2 linked regions of the Mus musculus genome follow. The protein of the gene in region 2 interacts with the protein of the main gene of each other region in a pairwise test. Links are inferred from orthologs where the notes say so. Each region holds a gene or a part of one and is shown on either strand. Other genes may lie near its edges.

The links. The genes of interacting proteins can lie anywhere in the genome.
Region 1: the proteins of Prkci (region 2) and Pard6b interact in binary tests that used the Homo sapiens proteins (3 or more experiments, as listed by UniProt). The link is inferred for Mus musculus from reciprocal best matches to the Homo sapiens genes PRKCI and PARD6B.

What each region holds. Positions count from the first base shown.
Region 1 is NC_000068.7:168,078,165-168,086,052, forward strand, and holds the start of Pard6b (partitioning defective 6 homolog beta), read left to right. Parts: upstream 1-2,839; 5' UTR 2,840-3,129; coding exon 3,130-3,195; intron 3,196-7,888. UniProt on the Homo sapiens protein: Adapter protein involved in asymmetrical cell division and cell polarization processes. Probably involved in formation of epithelial tight junctions.
Region 2 is NC_000069.6:31,038,594-31,045,743, forward strand, and holds part of Prkci (protein kinase C iota type), read left to right. Parts: intron 1-372; exon of another isoform or gene 373-435; coding exon 436-522; intron 523-774; coding exon 775-910; intron 911-2,848; coding exon 2,849-2,936; intron 2,937-5,097; coding exon 5,098-5,223; intron 5,224-6,288; coding exon 6,289-6,368; intron 6,369-7,150.

The DNA.
Region 1 (7,888 bases), on a different chromosome or scaffold from region 2:
CTGCTGACCTGAGCCAGACTCACCATCTCAGGAGCCTGTAATTTACAGAGCCGGGTCAGGCTGTTAACTGACTTATCTCTCAACCCACTGAACACTAATTCTCAGAGCTTCTCGGGGGGGTGGGGGGGTGGGGGGGGCTTGTCAGTCCGGATCAGCTCTGGTTTGAGGATTTGGGGGCAGGGAGAGGAGATGGGGAGAACGGAGGTTACAAGTCAGTCTCTAAACCAAAGAGGCAGGAGCCAAGAGCTAATCCACACTGTTTCTCTGGTCTTCAGGCTTCTTAAGCCAAGCTGACAACAAGGCTCCCCTCCCCCGCAGCACCTTTATCAAAGGCAAACTATTTTCTACATTCCCTTCTTACACAGCCCTGGTTTGCAGCAGATCTGCCGGAGAGATCCAGGAAGCTCTGGCCTGGCCCTCCCTCCCTTCGAGAAAGGAAAGTTCAGGTAGTGAGGGATGCCACACCCGGGGGGAGGGGAGGGCGGATGTGACGGCAGCTTCAGGAATGCAGGGCCCACGCAGGTGCATTGGCACCCATGAGCTTCCTCCTCAAAGCAGCTGATAAAGGAGTCTCGATAGCAGTAATAGCAGCCACCCAACCATCATCCACACAGACTTGGGGCCACAGGTCCACAGTTCTCAAGGTGTGACCCGCTCAGGGCAGAGGCAGGAGAAAGGTGAGATTGGAGGTCCTGTGCTTTCTGGCACATCGGTTTTCAGAGTGGCCCACGGGTCCACTGGCACCTGGAAACCTCGCTAGGGGAATTTCCAAAGTCATATTGTTCTCATGAAGGCGTCGCATCTCACCTTCCTTGTCTCAGAAGCAGATGATGGAGTTTTCCGCAAAAGACAGGACAAATGATGACATCATCTTTACCTGCTTGGAATATGTATTGTGCATTGTTTTAAACGCGTTTCTGGTTTAGTTCCAATACAATAAACACTCATAGGCATTCACAAACTTGGAGGTTCCCTGTAATGTTTAGTTTCAGGGGTCCTGGGACCCAAAGAGCTGTAACTGCTGGGCTGATGCTGTTGACCAGGGTACTGGGCCTGTGGCTGCCCCTCAAAACCACAAATCTTCTTTCCACCACACAGGTATGGGTTGGGAAGGCAGTGTGAGATTCAGCTTGAGGGACAGTCTCTCTCTCTCTCTCCAGGACTTCCACCCCAGAATGGCCAGGGAAACCTTAAAATCGCCTACCAACAGCTGGTGAAGAGATTCGTTCAAGGGGAAAGGGGCTTCTTATCTTTGAAGCTACAGGGTGTAGCCTGGAGAAGCCACAGATTCGGCTCCTCTTGTCCCCAAATACATACATGAGCGCATGACAAGAGCCTGGCTCTCCCAGGGTGAACAAACAACTGAGCAAAGCCAGGGTATCCCCGCCACTGGGTAGCTTTCATTGTACATAGAGTAACGCTGTTTCAAGTGCACGTGCACGAAGGAAAATAGAAAAGCTGAACCCCATCACAGCGGAAAGATGTTAGATTCTGTGGTCCAAGGGGAGAGTGGGCAGGAGTGAAGGCCCCTGATCAGCTAGCTCTTCAGCCCTCTGTGGGGTAGGAGGGTCGTCGAGGGAGACTTTCACTTTTCTCCTAGCACCAGCAAGACCAATGGGTAAACAAAACAGAGAGAGAGGCAGCAGCCTCAGTGTGGGGCGCTCAGAGATTAGGAATTGGTGTTGTTACCCCAGGACACAGCTCGGTCACTGGGGGAACAGAACACAGCCCAGAGGCTGGCGTTGGTGCAAACAACAAACGGGCAAGAAATTGCTCCACAGAGAGACGACTTCAGCCTCAGAGGGCGGATGGTGAGGCCCGCAGGGAGCCAGGGCCTGTGGGGACCATCGCAGGCCTCAGCTCCCTGGTCCTCTCCTGATACCCAGGGCACCCTCGGGACAGGGAAGATCTAGAGCAGTGGTTCTCAACCTTCCTAATGCTGTGACCTCGCATTCTGATGACCTCCAGCCATAAAATGATTTTCCTAGCTACTTAACTGTAATTTTGCTACTGTTATGAATCGCAATGTAAATATCTGTGTTTTAGGTCTCAGGTGACCCCGGAGGAAGAGTCGTCCTGGGGTCAAGAGCCCACAGGTTGAGAAGCGCTGATTGAGACGAAAGTGCAGTTTCCAGGCCTAGACATCCCCCCACCCCCGACCCCCAAGCTTCTCCCTCTAATGACTGCTGCAGAGGCGGGAAAACTTGAAACTCTTTCCACAATAGTTTCAGGGGGCCGCCAAGAAGCCGCAGCATGGGGGGGGGCTCAGGCCGAAGAGGGGCCCCAGATGCCCAGTCACCCCACATCATCACGGCAAGGGAACGGCTGTACACACATTCCAAGCAGGTGACTAGGGCGCGTTAAAGATACGGGCGCTCCCGACCCGACCCAGCCGGCGAAAACGCTCGCGCGCATGCGCAAAATACACACCCTCCTGAACGGCAGTCCAGGTGCGCTCGCGCTTCCGGCCGGCCTTCCCCATCGCCTTCTCGGGGCGGAAACTCTACAGCCGGCGCATGCGTCCTACTGCTCCCCCGGCTCAATCCAGAGAGGCCCCAGAGCTTCAGGTGATCCCGCCCCTCCCTCGCAAGGCAGGACCAATCGCGAGGGCTGTGGGCGGGGCTTCCCAACCACGAGGCCCGCCCACGGGCCGCGCGAGCCCCGCAGGCTGCGTGCCGATTGGCTGACGCCGCGGGCGCAGGTGCGCGCTTCCCATTGGGTGTGGGCGGAGCGCAAGCCGCGCGCCGAAGCTGCAGGTGAGCGCGCGCACGTGCCGCGGCCGCGGCCCAGCTCGGTGCACGAGCGCGCGGGCGCGCGTCCGCGGGGGAGGCAGCGGATAAGGGAGGCTGCGGCGGCTGTAGGGCTGTGCTCCGCCCTCTCCTCACCGCCGCGGCCGCCGCCGCCCCCGAGCCTCGCTGGGAGGGACCGGTGTCCCCGCCTGCTGCACTGGCAGTCCGACCCTCAGGCCGCCGCGGAGCAGCCGGCACTGCGCTGCGGGGAGGACCTCAGCAGGTGCCGTGACGAGGCGCCGTGCGGCGCTTCGAGTCCCGAGCCCGCGCTCCGCGGCCCCGCCGCCCGCGCTCCCGAGGGCCGGCCCCCGACGAGGCCGCCGGCGGCCGGGCACTCAGCATGAACCGCGGCCACCGGCACGGGGCGAGCAGCGGCTGCCTGGGCACCATGGAGGTGAAGAGCAAGGTGCGCGGCCGGGCGGGGCAACGGGGGCGAGGGCCGGTGGGATGGTCGACGCGGGGCTGCCCCGTGAGGACGCAGAGTGGCGGGATGGTGGACCTCGGCTGCCCCTGTGGGAACGCGGGCGGAGGGCGAGCTGCTGGCCGAAGCACGTAGGAGAGAAACTTGGTGGAGCGCGGCGATGTGAGGCGTTTGCGTCTGCTCCGCAGCACAGCCCCTGTTTTCTATCCTTCATATTCCCGCCTTGCTTTTAGGGTGGGATGAGGATCGCTCCAGTGCAAGGTGATGGGATAACTTTGGGGGATCCCTTCACCCCGGGCACGAGCCAGAGGCTTTCGGAACACCTTGTTGTCTTCTCGTATAACCTTTTATTGGGGCTCGGGGGTACATCGAGTGGAGGAGAGCTCTTTTTCCAGCCCTAACTTTGGTATGCGTCTAATCTATGAAATTAGCGCTATCGCCTTACTCTGGTGCTGCGCTTGACAATTTGAGACGCTGCTGTTTTCATTCCGACTCTTCATTCGGAATGCTTTCCCCCTTGGCGGATCTGCCAGTCTTCTGTTAGTGACTTCAGTGTCGGTGGGATTCCTCAATCCCAAGGCCGGGTGAGCAGAGTAGCCCGTGGGGATTAGCTGGAGAATGCCGTCTTCCAAAAGGGGCTTTTCAGATGGAATCTGAAGGTGATCCGTAGCCACCGGAACATGTCGCCAAGCTTCTCCTGACTTTGAACGGCCAGGAGGGGCAGGATTATGTAGCCTGGTTCTCGGAGAGTTCTGAAATGATAAGAAACCCTGCTTTTAAAGGGTGTGACTTCCCCCAAACTCGGCTGTAGGACCAGGTCTTGCCGATGGCTTTTTACTGAGCAACTTGTAAAACGGTGGTAGAGGGCATTGCTGACCGTGAGAATTTAGAGCAAAATTGTGGCTAGACACACAGAAGGAGCGGTGTATCGAACACCCACTGCAAAAATAAGAAGCGTGGTGGTTAAGGGACCCCTGGGGGAATGTCGGTCCGGGAAGTGGGGTGAGTGAGGAAAGCTACCTGGAGCCTTTGTGGTTCCTGGGCTTGAGAGCAAAGTTCTGTAACTAAGAATCACAGATCTACATTTGCTTTTAATTTGGGGGGATTTTTGTTTGTTTGTTTTCTTTTTGTTTTTTTGCTTTGTTGTTTTGTTTGTAATCTCCTCTAACTATTGAGACTAGAACTAGAGAGTGCCAGACACAGTCTTAATGGAGGAGTGGGAGGAATTTATATATCAGATAGGAACTAGATTGAAACACAGGTCTGTGTAATAATAACAGGACTGTTGGTGTTAGAGAGATGGCACTGCATTTATGAATGTACGCTGCTCTTGCAGGACACCCAAGCTCAGTTCGCCGCACCCCTGCCGAGCAACACACACCTGTAACTTTCTTTAAATTTACTATTTTACATGTATAAATGCCTGCCTGTATGTCTGTGTACCACCTGAATGCCTGGTGCTCTAGGAAGCCAGAATCCCAGAGGGAGTCAAGTCGGATCCCCTGGACCTGAAGTTAAAATAGTGAGCTACCTTGTGGGCGCTGACCCAAACCCAGAGCCTCTGAGTGAGCTGTGTTGCATTTAACCACCGAGCCTTCTCTCCAGTTCCAGAACATCTGGTGCTCTGGCTTCCCATGGCACCGACACATGGCATACATAGACGGAGCTGCCGGCATACACATAATTGTTTTAGAGTAAAACTGTATGATAGTTTAAGGAACACACCCTTCCTGGCTGGGTTCTGCACAACAGCAAATAAAGTGACTTGTTAGTATAGGGAGATGACTGACTCCAGAAATGTCTGTCTTTTTCTCTAACCATTTGTAGCTGTCAACACACAAGCTTTCTCCTGGCATCTCTTTGTAGTTTGGCTTGTGGGACTTGAGGTGAGGAAAGAAAACCACTTGTGATGCTGCATAATACCAACACTCAGTTTTATGGTCCTGATCTCGGTAGTGAGCCTTTACATGTTTTTTTAATCATTAAAAAAATGAGTAGAGATTCTAGGTGTGCCAATAAGTTAGATAGGAGTGGGTCTCTGGTGGAAGGAAACCAAGCTCTTGTGGACTGGAATTTCAAGCTTTTTGTTTTCCTTTTTCATCTACTGATTTTTGAATATTTTACATAGTTCTGTCCAAGGTGTGTGGTTTCTATTTCAGCTGCCATACCATACTTCTAGTGTGAGCCCTCCTCTAAACAGAAGCAGGGCAGTCAGAAGATACACTCGGGAAATGCTGCCATGCTGTGTGTCTGTTAACAGACAGACAGACAGCATAGGCCAGAGTTTGTTCACCCTGCTTTGTGGGGTTTTGAGATGGCTCCCCACCCCCACCCTTTCCCCTCCTTCCATGTAGCCCTGACTGTCCTAGAGAACATTTATGTGTGTGCATGAATGCAGGTGCCAACAGAGTCCAGAAGAGGGCGTCAGCTCAATTGACTGAAATTACAGGTGCTTGTGAGCTACCAGACATGGGTGGAAACTGAACTTGGGTCCTCTGGAAGAGCACTGCATGTTCTTTTGTTGTAGTAGTTGTAGTTGTTGTTGTTTTAAAGTTTTATTTATTATTTATATGAGTACATTGTAGCTGTCTTCAGACACACCAGAAGAGGGCATCAGATTCCATTACAGATGGTTGTGAGCCACCATGTGGTTTCTGGGAATTGAACTCAGGACCTCTGGAAGAGCAGTCAGTACTCTTAACCACTGAGCCATCTCTCCAGCCCCCGTTGTTGTTGTTTTTTAAGACAGGGTCTCTACATAGCCCTGGCTGTTCTAAAACTCATTATGTAGACCAGGCTGGTCTTGAACTCAGAGATCCGGCTGCCTCTGTTGGGAGTAAAGTCATGTGTTGCTAGTCCTACCTTAGCTCAGGTTTGTAAAAAAAATAATTTCAGTTTATGCTATGTGAATAGTAAAAACTCCCTTAAATTTCCACTATGTTCTGATCATTTACTTGGCATGATGGGCGTGTGGGGATTCGCAGGTTCCGCAGTGGGAGTGGAGAGGTCAGAGGACAGCCCTAGGAAGTTGCTTCTCACCACCACGTGGGTCTTGGGGATTGGATTCAGGCTCTGAGGCTTGGCAGCAAGCACTTACCTACTGAACCATCTGCTGGTCCAGGGTTAGTTCTGTAATATCACAGTTAGGCGATCCTAACCAGAACTGGAGAGTGTGTAGGTCATAGGTAGGCTCTCCTTCATAGCAACAGTAGCGTCAGCCAGGGACGGCACACACCTTTAACCCCAGAATGTAGACGCAGAGGCAGGAGGATTTCTGAGTTCCAGGTCTGCCAGGACTACATAGAGAAACCCTGTCTATCTTGAAAAGAGAAAGAAAGAAAGAAACAATAGTGTCCGCTTTATCGTCTTTGCTCTGGGAAGGGAGCCGTGGTACAGATAGGAGGAATAATGGAGAGTGTAAATAAGGTTCTAGTTAGAGGTGTGATGCCAGCAGCTGGGTGATTTCTTTGGTAACTGATTTATCTTCCTGATTGTTTCTCCAGAAAGTTCTCTGTAATCATTTTGATGTCCTTAGGTAACCTTGGTCTCAAGGGCAGGGGCTACTACAGTGGAGCTTGACCGCCATACTCGGGCCTGGTTGCATCTCCACCACAGCCAAGACACTGGCCCCACAGCCTCGAAACGGTCTGGGGACACACCACTTCCTAATTGCTACTCATGGGCAAACACAATATCAACTGTACTGCGCGCACACACACACACACACACACACACACACCGTGATCCCAGCTGTCAGTGCAAGCTCAAGGGCAGCTAAGGCGACACAGGGAGAGCCTACAAACAAACCAGAAGTAGGGATGGAAGGTGCCTCAGTGGTTCCGAGCACAGACTGCTCTTCCGTAGGACCAAGGTCCTTTCCCCTTCCCTCCAAAACCCAAGTTCTAGAATATGCCAACAGATGCTAGGAAACAAGTCCTTGTACATCTGGATTCCAAGCCAGAAAAATCACATGGTGGATAATTGTTGATTGGGTTCGTTTGATCTCTATCTAATTTTCCCTCATGTCTTAAAAAGTCCTTATATTCATACTGTGCTGCAAAAAGTGACCCAGTCCCGCCTCACCTTTTGCCAGCACTGGGGGTTGGGCACAATCTACTGTTAATATCTAAATATTTAAGCCAGAGAAGAAAGTATTAAAGAATTGCATGCATGCAGAAGCTTTAGGGAAACTTAACAGGTTAAATAAGTCATTCGGTGTCTTCCCATTCAGACTCCAGAGGAGGGGGTGATAGCCTGGCGTGAGTCAGCCTGCACTGTGTGGACTGTGGCTGTGCGGGGAGAACGTCCAGCCTGCAGAAAATGGAGGAGAAACTGCCTCTGATAACATCGCCTAACTGACTGATATGAAGGGTGTTCCCTGGGTTTTAGTTACTCTGAAGTATGTAGGTGTGACTAACTTTTTGAGAACTTTAAATATGAGTCACCTGATTTTCCTGACAAATGTTAGTGTTTATGTCTCAGGTACATGTTTTGGAAACTTCGAATTTGTTAAGAGTTAGAAGTGGCCAGTGAAATTGTTCTAATGTCAAATGGTATAGCAGAAGAGTGCTTGCAAGAGGAGGGCCAGCCATAGGTAGAGAGAAGGCTTGATGGCTGGGTGCCTGGGGTTGCTGTTGGTTGTGAATGCCGGTTGGGAGAAGAGCCTTTCTCTGCCTGG
Region 2 (7,150 bases):
CATGTTATATAAGAAGACTCTGTTTCCCATAATTCTTGAAGTAGGAGGACTACTTATAATTTCCTGCTACAATCAGTGATACCAATTTAACACCAGTCACTCATAGACATATAAGGAAGAAAAAGGGAGCGGGGAGGGGCTCTTCAGAAGCAGCAGTAGCTAGCCAACCCTTTACGTATCCTCCGGATTCTCGCCTTATGACATAATGTCTCATTACCTGAAGTGACATTTAAACATGACTCACCTAGTTCCTAAGATTGCAGTGAAACTCCTAAGAGTGGGATCGATTGGTGTAGAAGTAGAAGTTGGGTCACACCGGGTCACATGTGTCCACTAAGGGCAAAGGGTGAGTCATCTCAAGAGCCTTCATGCTGCTCTGTGGGAGATGCCAGGAGCCGTACGACTAACTGACGTGTGCTTCTTGCCTCTTCTCAGGTTGTTTTTTGTCATAGAATATGTAAATGGAGGGGACCTCATGTTTCATATGCAGCGACAGAGAAAACTTCCTGAAGAGCATGCCAGGTAAGTGTTTTGTTTGAGTTGGATTTTTTTGCTCAGGGCTGCCTGACCTTTTATGTCTGCTAGTTGAAAACAGTACATAAACAAGTTATCTTGTTACAGTTTATTCTTTGTAAGTCATGAGGTAGTTAAGTTACATAATATATTATATCTACCACATATTATTATAATCTGTTGTTTGTGTTTATTATGTGTTTAGGGTTTTACAGATGGTTATTATTCATAGCAAGGCCATATTTTTTTTTTCAATTTAAGGTTTTACTCTGCAGAAATCAGTCTAGCACTGAATTATCTTCATGAGCGAGGGATAATTTATAGAGATTTGAAGTTGGACAATGTACTGCTAGACTCTGAAGGACACATTAAACTCACTGACTACGGCATGTGTAAGGTGAGAGACCCCCTGGATGGCTTGTAACCTGTCAGCTAAGTAACTTCACACTTAGATGGGAAGAGATCACTGCCTTGTTGAGGATGTCTGAGAGTTCTGGTCTGAAGACAGGTGTACTCTCTGGCCATTTGGCCACGTGGAGAACTCCATGTCTTCTGTGATGTGTGTTATAAATGGGCCACTTTTTAAAAATTGGTTGTAGCTTTTTTGTTATACTTTTGAAGAAAATTTGGAAATAACATTACCTACAGTCCTGTTACGTTAACACAGTATTTGCATGCCACCTTCCAAGCTTTTACCATTTATCAGACCTGAACCTACTTTCACATTTTTCCTAGGCATCTTTTATATTTAACTTTTAAATCTCTGACATACAATGTGACATTCAATCAAGTAAGCATTTTACTTTGTCTCAGAATATGTCTACTAATCTCGCTATTTTACTCCTTTGGCAACAGTGTTTTACTTAGAGGTTTGATCTTTTCCCACAAAATGTCTAGAGAACTATTCTACTTATTAACCCTGTCCTAACAAAACATGTGCGAGTGTGTGAGTGTGCGCACTGCATCCCCATCCATCAGGAGGAGGTACCGTAAACACACACATGGTAATGAGGATTTAATGTCACCCTGCACACCTTATATCAGGTAGTAAAGTCATGCAGTGTATACAACTCAAGACCGTTTTCCTGTCATGCACCTTAAGTCATTCTCTTTGTAACTAGGGAAGAGGGTTAAGTCACTGGACCCCCTGCATGCCTCATTTGTATTCACGATGCCTTTTTGCTCTGTCATGGTTTTCCATAGTGTTCTTCTCTCTGGTTTTAAAACTCATCACAATAATAATGGATTCTTACAAGTTCCAAGGGCAAATGAAAAGCATGCAGAGTATTAATCTGCAAGTTAGAACAGTGTTTTGGATTTTTTTAGTCACAATCTGAATGTTAGTTAAAATTACAGGTAGCTTGAGGAGGCAGAGGCATGGTGACACACCTCTATAGGGTGAAGCAGGGTGATCATGAGCTCAAGGCCAGCGTGGACTGGACAGCAAGAGTTTGCCCACCGAGCCATCTTCCCAGCCTGGGAGGAACCTTTCTTTCATGACTTCTGTCCTTCCCTTGTCCCCCAAACATGTATGTCCATATTTATACTGTGATGTGAGTATATGGGACACATTTGGTGGTTGGCTTGGTTTTATTTTGTCTTTGTTTTGGTAGGTGTTTCTGTTTGGCTTGGTTTTATTCCTTAGAAACAAAATATTGGTGTGTAGCTGAGATTGACCCTGAATTAACAATCCTCCTGTTTCAGCCTTCCAAGTGCTGGGATTACACGTGGACCACCATACTTTTTTAAGTCGTCTAAAAATCACTGTTTATTAGTTATTGGTGTATAGGGTATGTTTTCTGAATGTTGAAACCTCATAATCAAAGACCATGAAATTTTCCTACTGTGTTCATTTTTATTCTTTTTTAGAAAATGTTAGTAGGTATACAGAAACTTATATTTGTTACAGCTCTTGATGGGTGTTCCATTTATTGTTGGGTTTTCTCTACTTAGTTTATTTGTGCATTGTTCACCTTCCTACAGCTATTAAAATATCAAAGCAGAAGACACAGTCGGTAGGAAAGAAAACATCACAATGTCAACAGTCATGAAGTAGTCACTGTAGTCACATGATCTCTGTTTTCATAGTAAATTTTAATAAATGTTATTTTAAAAGCAGTTTTATGTTAACTGAATTGACTTTAGCAACGTCTAAAGTGAATACGTTTTCTTTTACTCTGTTTAGTAGTGATCACTGTTCCTAGTGACGCTGTTCAGGTTTAACATATTGCATATACATGCTGAGTTTAGACACATGAAATGGAAGAGGTGAATGTAAAATGGTGTTGTCTCTTATCTTTTCCCCGTCTTCTCCTTTCCTTTTTCCCCATGAAAGGAAGGATTGCGGCCTGGAGACACAACCAGCACTTTCTGCGGCACTCCCAATTACATTGCTCCAGAGATCTTAAGAGGAGAAGATTATGGTAATAAATTAATAGGTGGTATTTTAGGTGTTACTATAATTGGTACCAACTACAACATAAATAGTATAGCATTTTAATATTCACTAATATATAAGCCTTCCTTAGTTCAGTTAACCTACGTGGAGACCCTCAGATTCTGAAACTGGACCCATCCATAAAAGGTTTGACATTTGGGAGAATTACATTTAAATAGTATTTTACTAGTGACAAGAACTAAACAGTGGCAAGAACTTGGTAAGCAGTTCACTCTAAATTCCCTCACAAGCCTTCTGAGGTACATGTTGACTTATTTGACAAAGAAGGGAAGCAATGTACAGAAAAGCTTAAATTATATGCCTGGGTCACAAAAGCCAAGGCAGTGCCCAGGTATGCAGGTACGTATTAACTCATCGGCTATGTGAATCCAGGGTCACGAACTTCAGAAGATTGTTCAGATTCAGGGGATATTTCCCTTAGTGTTCTAAAAGTTCCTAAAGGCTGGGGGCCTGATAGGTACCAGGAAATACCTACCTTCCTTCCTTCCTTCCTTCCTTCCTTCTCTTTACAGAGTTAGGGTGTCTCTACATAACCCTGTCTGCCCTGGAACTTGCTCTGTAAACAAGGTTGGCCTCTAACTCAGTTCCTCCTGCCTCTGCCTCCTTAGTGCTGGGATTTAAAGTATGGATCTTTGGCGGCCATTACTTTTCTTCACATTTATTTTTATTAGTTCTTTTGAGACTTTCCTACAATATATTTTGATCACATCTACCCTTTCCTGTTCCTCCTGTATGCCCCCACTGCCAACTTCCCTAATCCAGCTTTGTCTCCTCCTCCTTTTTACCCAGCTAGTCCATGCTGCCCTTGTGTTCTTGGATCTGTGGACTTCCACGGGAGCATGGTCAACTTGCAGGGAACAACTCTTTTAGATAAAAGTTCCTCTCCTGTAGCTATCACTTGCCATAGCCCCGCCTGTCCACCTCGCTTACCATGCTGGGATTTGGTCTGACTTGAATTTACACAGGGCTTGTGCATGCTATCCCAGTTTTTGTGAGCTTGTGTGTACAGCTGCCCTACTATGTCTGGAGACATGTTTTCTTATGTTCACCCTCCACCTCTGGTTGTTACAGTCTTCCCCCTTTCTACAATGTCTCCGTATGCTTGGGAGAAGGAACATATATGTTGGGAGAAATATTAAAAAATGAACCGGCATGTTCCCATTCTTGTGCCTCTGCCTCAGCGGCCTGACCAGCAAAAATATCTCGTGGAGACTCTCTGACCTGGAGTTCCCAAAACATCTTCACCCAGCTCGCTAAGTTCCCACTGGCGGATATCTACCATGACAGCCCTAAGCTTCAATCCTCCAAGGCCTGTGTAGTACACCTCAGGCAAACCTGTGCTTTGCCACCAGAAGAGCCGATGCTTGAAGGAAAACGCAACACAAACTTAGTTCAGAAACAATTGCTGGCACAACAACAAAAATCCTAACTTGTAAGCCTTATTAAATCTAAATCCTCCAGTGGCAAAATCCTGACAGATCTGCCATTGAATCTGGGAGACACTTGTAATTACATCTTGTCCTCATGGTATCCCTGTCCAAAAAGACCTAACTCTTTCCTGCTTCCTCTTCTTCCTCCATCCAACTCGGAAGTCCCTCCTACTCGCCCAGTGATTGGCTCCTTTAATCATTAGGGGGTTGGTTCACAAGAAGTCACCTGAGTATGACTCACTCCTCCCAGGAGAGTGGAATTAGCATCAACATACAAACAGCACCAGGCTCATCCACACACATACAGATAGTCATTTTAGGGTTGCTTGGACCAAGTATCTCTGTAGTTTTTAGTGCCTACCATATTATTTATACTCTAATTAGACTTTGCTTTTCCATTATGTTTACATTTCCATCTCATGATAAAATAAAATTTCTGGGAGGCTGGAGAGATGGCTCAGTGGTTAAGAGCACTGACTGCTCTTCCAGAGGTCCTGAGTTCAGTTCCCAGCAACCACTCACAACCATCTCTAATGGGATCTGATGCTCTCTTCTGGTGTGTCTGAAGACAGCTACAATATACTCAAACACATAAAATAAATAAATAAAATCTTTAAAAAAATAAAAAATAAATTTCTGACTGCTGGATGTTCACACATGCAGAGAAGGTTTATTACTTTAAACTTCTCTCTAAAGGCTTCAGCGTTGACTGGTGGGCTCTTGGAGTGCTTATGTTTGAGATGATGGCGGGAAGGTCTCCGTTTGATATCGTTGGGAGCTCTGACAATCCTGACCAAAACACAGAGGATTATCTATTCCAAGGTAATTTGCAATACTTCGGGGAAATTCTGTGAATAACCTAGAGCAAAGTAAGGGCTCTCAAATTAGTATTCTCAGTTAAAAACAAGGAGAGTAATTTGGACACACACCTGACTTCATGATAGTTTGGAGAATTTTTAGATAGTCCCTTCCCACTTCTCTAGCCTGTAGCTTCGTCTGTAATTTCCTTCCCACACTCAATTCATAACAAAGCATTTAAATGTGTCGTCATACATGCTAGAACAGGGAACTCCTGGGGAGATGGAGGCATCTGTTAGAGACTAATCTCTGCACATGAGCCCCAGACTTAGTGCCCGGGTTCAAGAAAAGTGGAGTGTGATTGTGATCCAAGAGATCACAGAGCTTTGCTAAGGCCTCCTCAGGGAGGGAGTGTCATGGTGAGGAGTGCTGACAGTCAACAGAGCAGAGGGAGGAGGCCAAGCACAGGACCTCTACCAGAAAGTGTGCAGCAGCCACAGAATTCTGCACCTAATAGTTAAGACCCTCACAGGACATGAGGAAGTGTTCCATAGAATAAGGAACCAGAGTGCCTGCCATTAAGACTATAGAAAGAGAATGCAAAGTGCTAATGAGCTACTGTTTCCTGCCTGTGCCCCTGACAGAGATTTGAGATTGAGAGTAACTGCCTGGTACTGATGAAGGTTCGGAGCAGTGGGAGGTCTTCGGGACTGCTCGTGGGGGTTGAAGTTGACAGGAGCTTTGCAGAATAATTTCACATTTCCCAGTACAGTTCTGTGTTACATATATATGCAAACACTTTACAGTACTAACTTTTGTACCTCAGAAGAGCCCCGTGAAGCAGGGATTGTTTTTATTGAGGCACACTAAGTTGGTAAAAATAAACCAGGCTTGTAAATAATAAATGCAGTACTAAGGCAAGGGGCCAGCTCTGAGAAGGAGAGCCAAAGGCAATGCATGAAGTGTTGCACTTATGCAGATGATGTATATTCTGCTAGGATGCCTTAAATAGCTTGGGATTTAAAGAAAAAACTTAGATTCAAGCCACATAAACACTAAAAATGATACTGTGATTCTTATCTTTTTAAGTCATTTTGGAAAAGCAGATCCGCATCCCGCGTTCTCTGTCTGTAAAAGCAGCAAGTGTACTGAAGAGTTTTCTCAACAAGGTAGGGATGATGTGGACACTCTTCTGTGCTTTCTTCCCTGAGGAAGCAGAGCGCCTTGTCGGCGGAGGCTCAGGCGCTGGGATGTTTCAGAGCAGGGATATGTAACTTTCCAGTTAGAACTGGAATTTTGTTTCATAACCAGACACAGGGTCAAATCCTGACCTGATTATCCTTGTCATGTGGCCAATATCATTGATTTACCTCCAGCTTGACCTTTAAATATAAATGATACACACATATGCTCTCCTCAGTGAAGGAAAATGGAGTCTGTAATTTGTTATAACTGCATTTTTAGCTGTGTTTCTGTATCTTTAGCCATAAAACCGATTTCTCACCAAGTGGCCAAGAATGTTCTCTATCCATTTCATAATAACTCTGTATTTAGATAAAATTCAGAAGAAATGGAATGAGATCCTAAAATGTAAGCATCATTCAGTTGCTTGTGGAAATTGGTAAGCCAGAAGCATTTAGGTTCTAAGATTGTGAATTTGGGATTCATAAAATTTATTCCAAATAAATGAAGGTATAAAATGGGTTACCTCTGTGGGCACATAAGGATGAAATTAATAAAATTGGAAAATTGCACCTAGTGAAGATGGCTATGTTTTTATCATGTGTATGTGTGTGTGGGTGTTGTGCCGGTGTGTAATCTGTAGCACATGCGTCACTGGTGCCCAGGAAGGGTAGAAGAGGGCACTGGATCTCCCGCACCTGGAGGTAGACATGGTTGTAAGCAGCTGTGGGTGTTAGGAATCCAACCTGAATCCTCAGGAAGGAGCCAT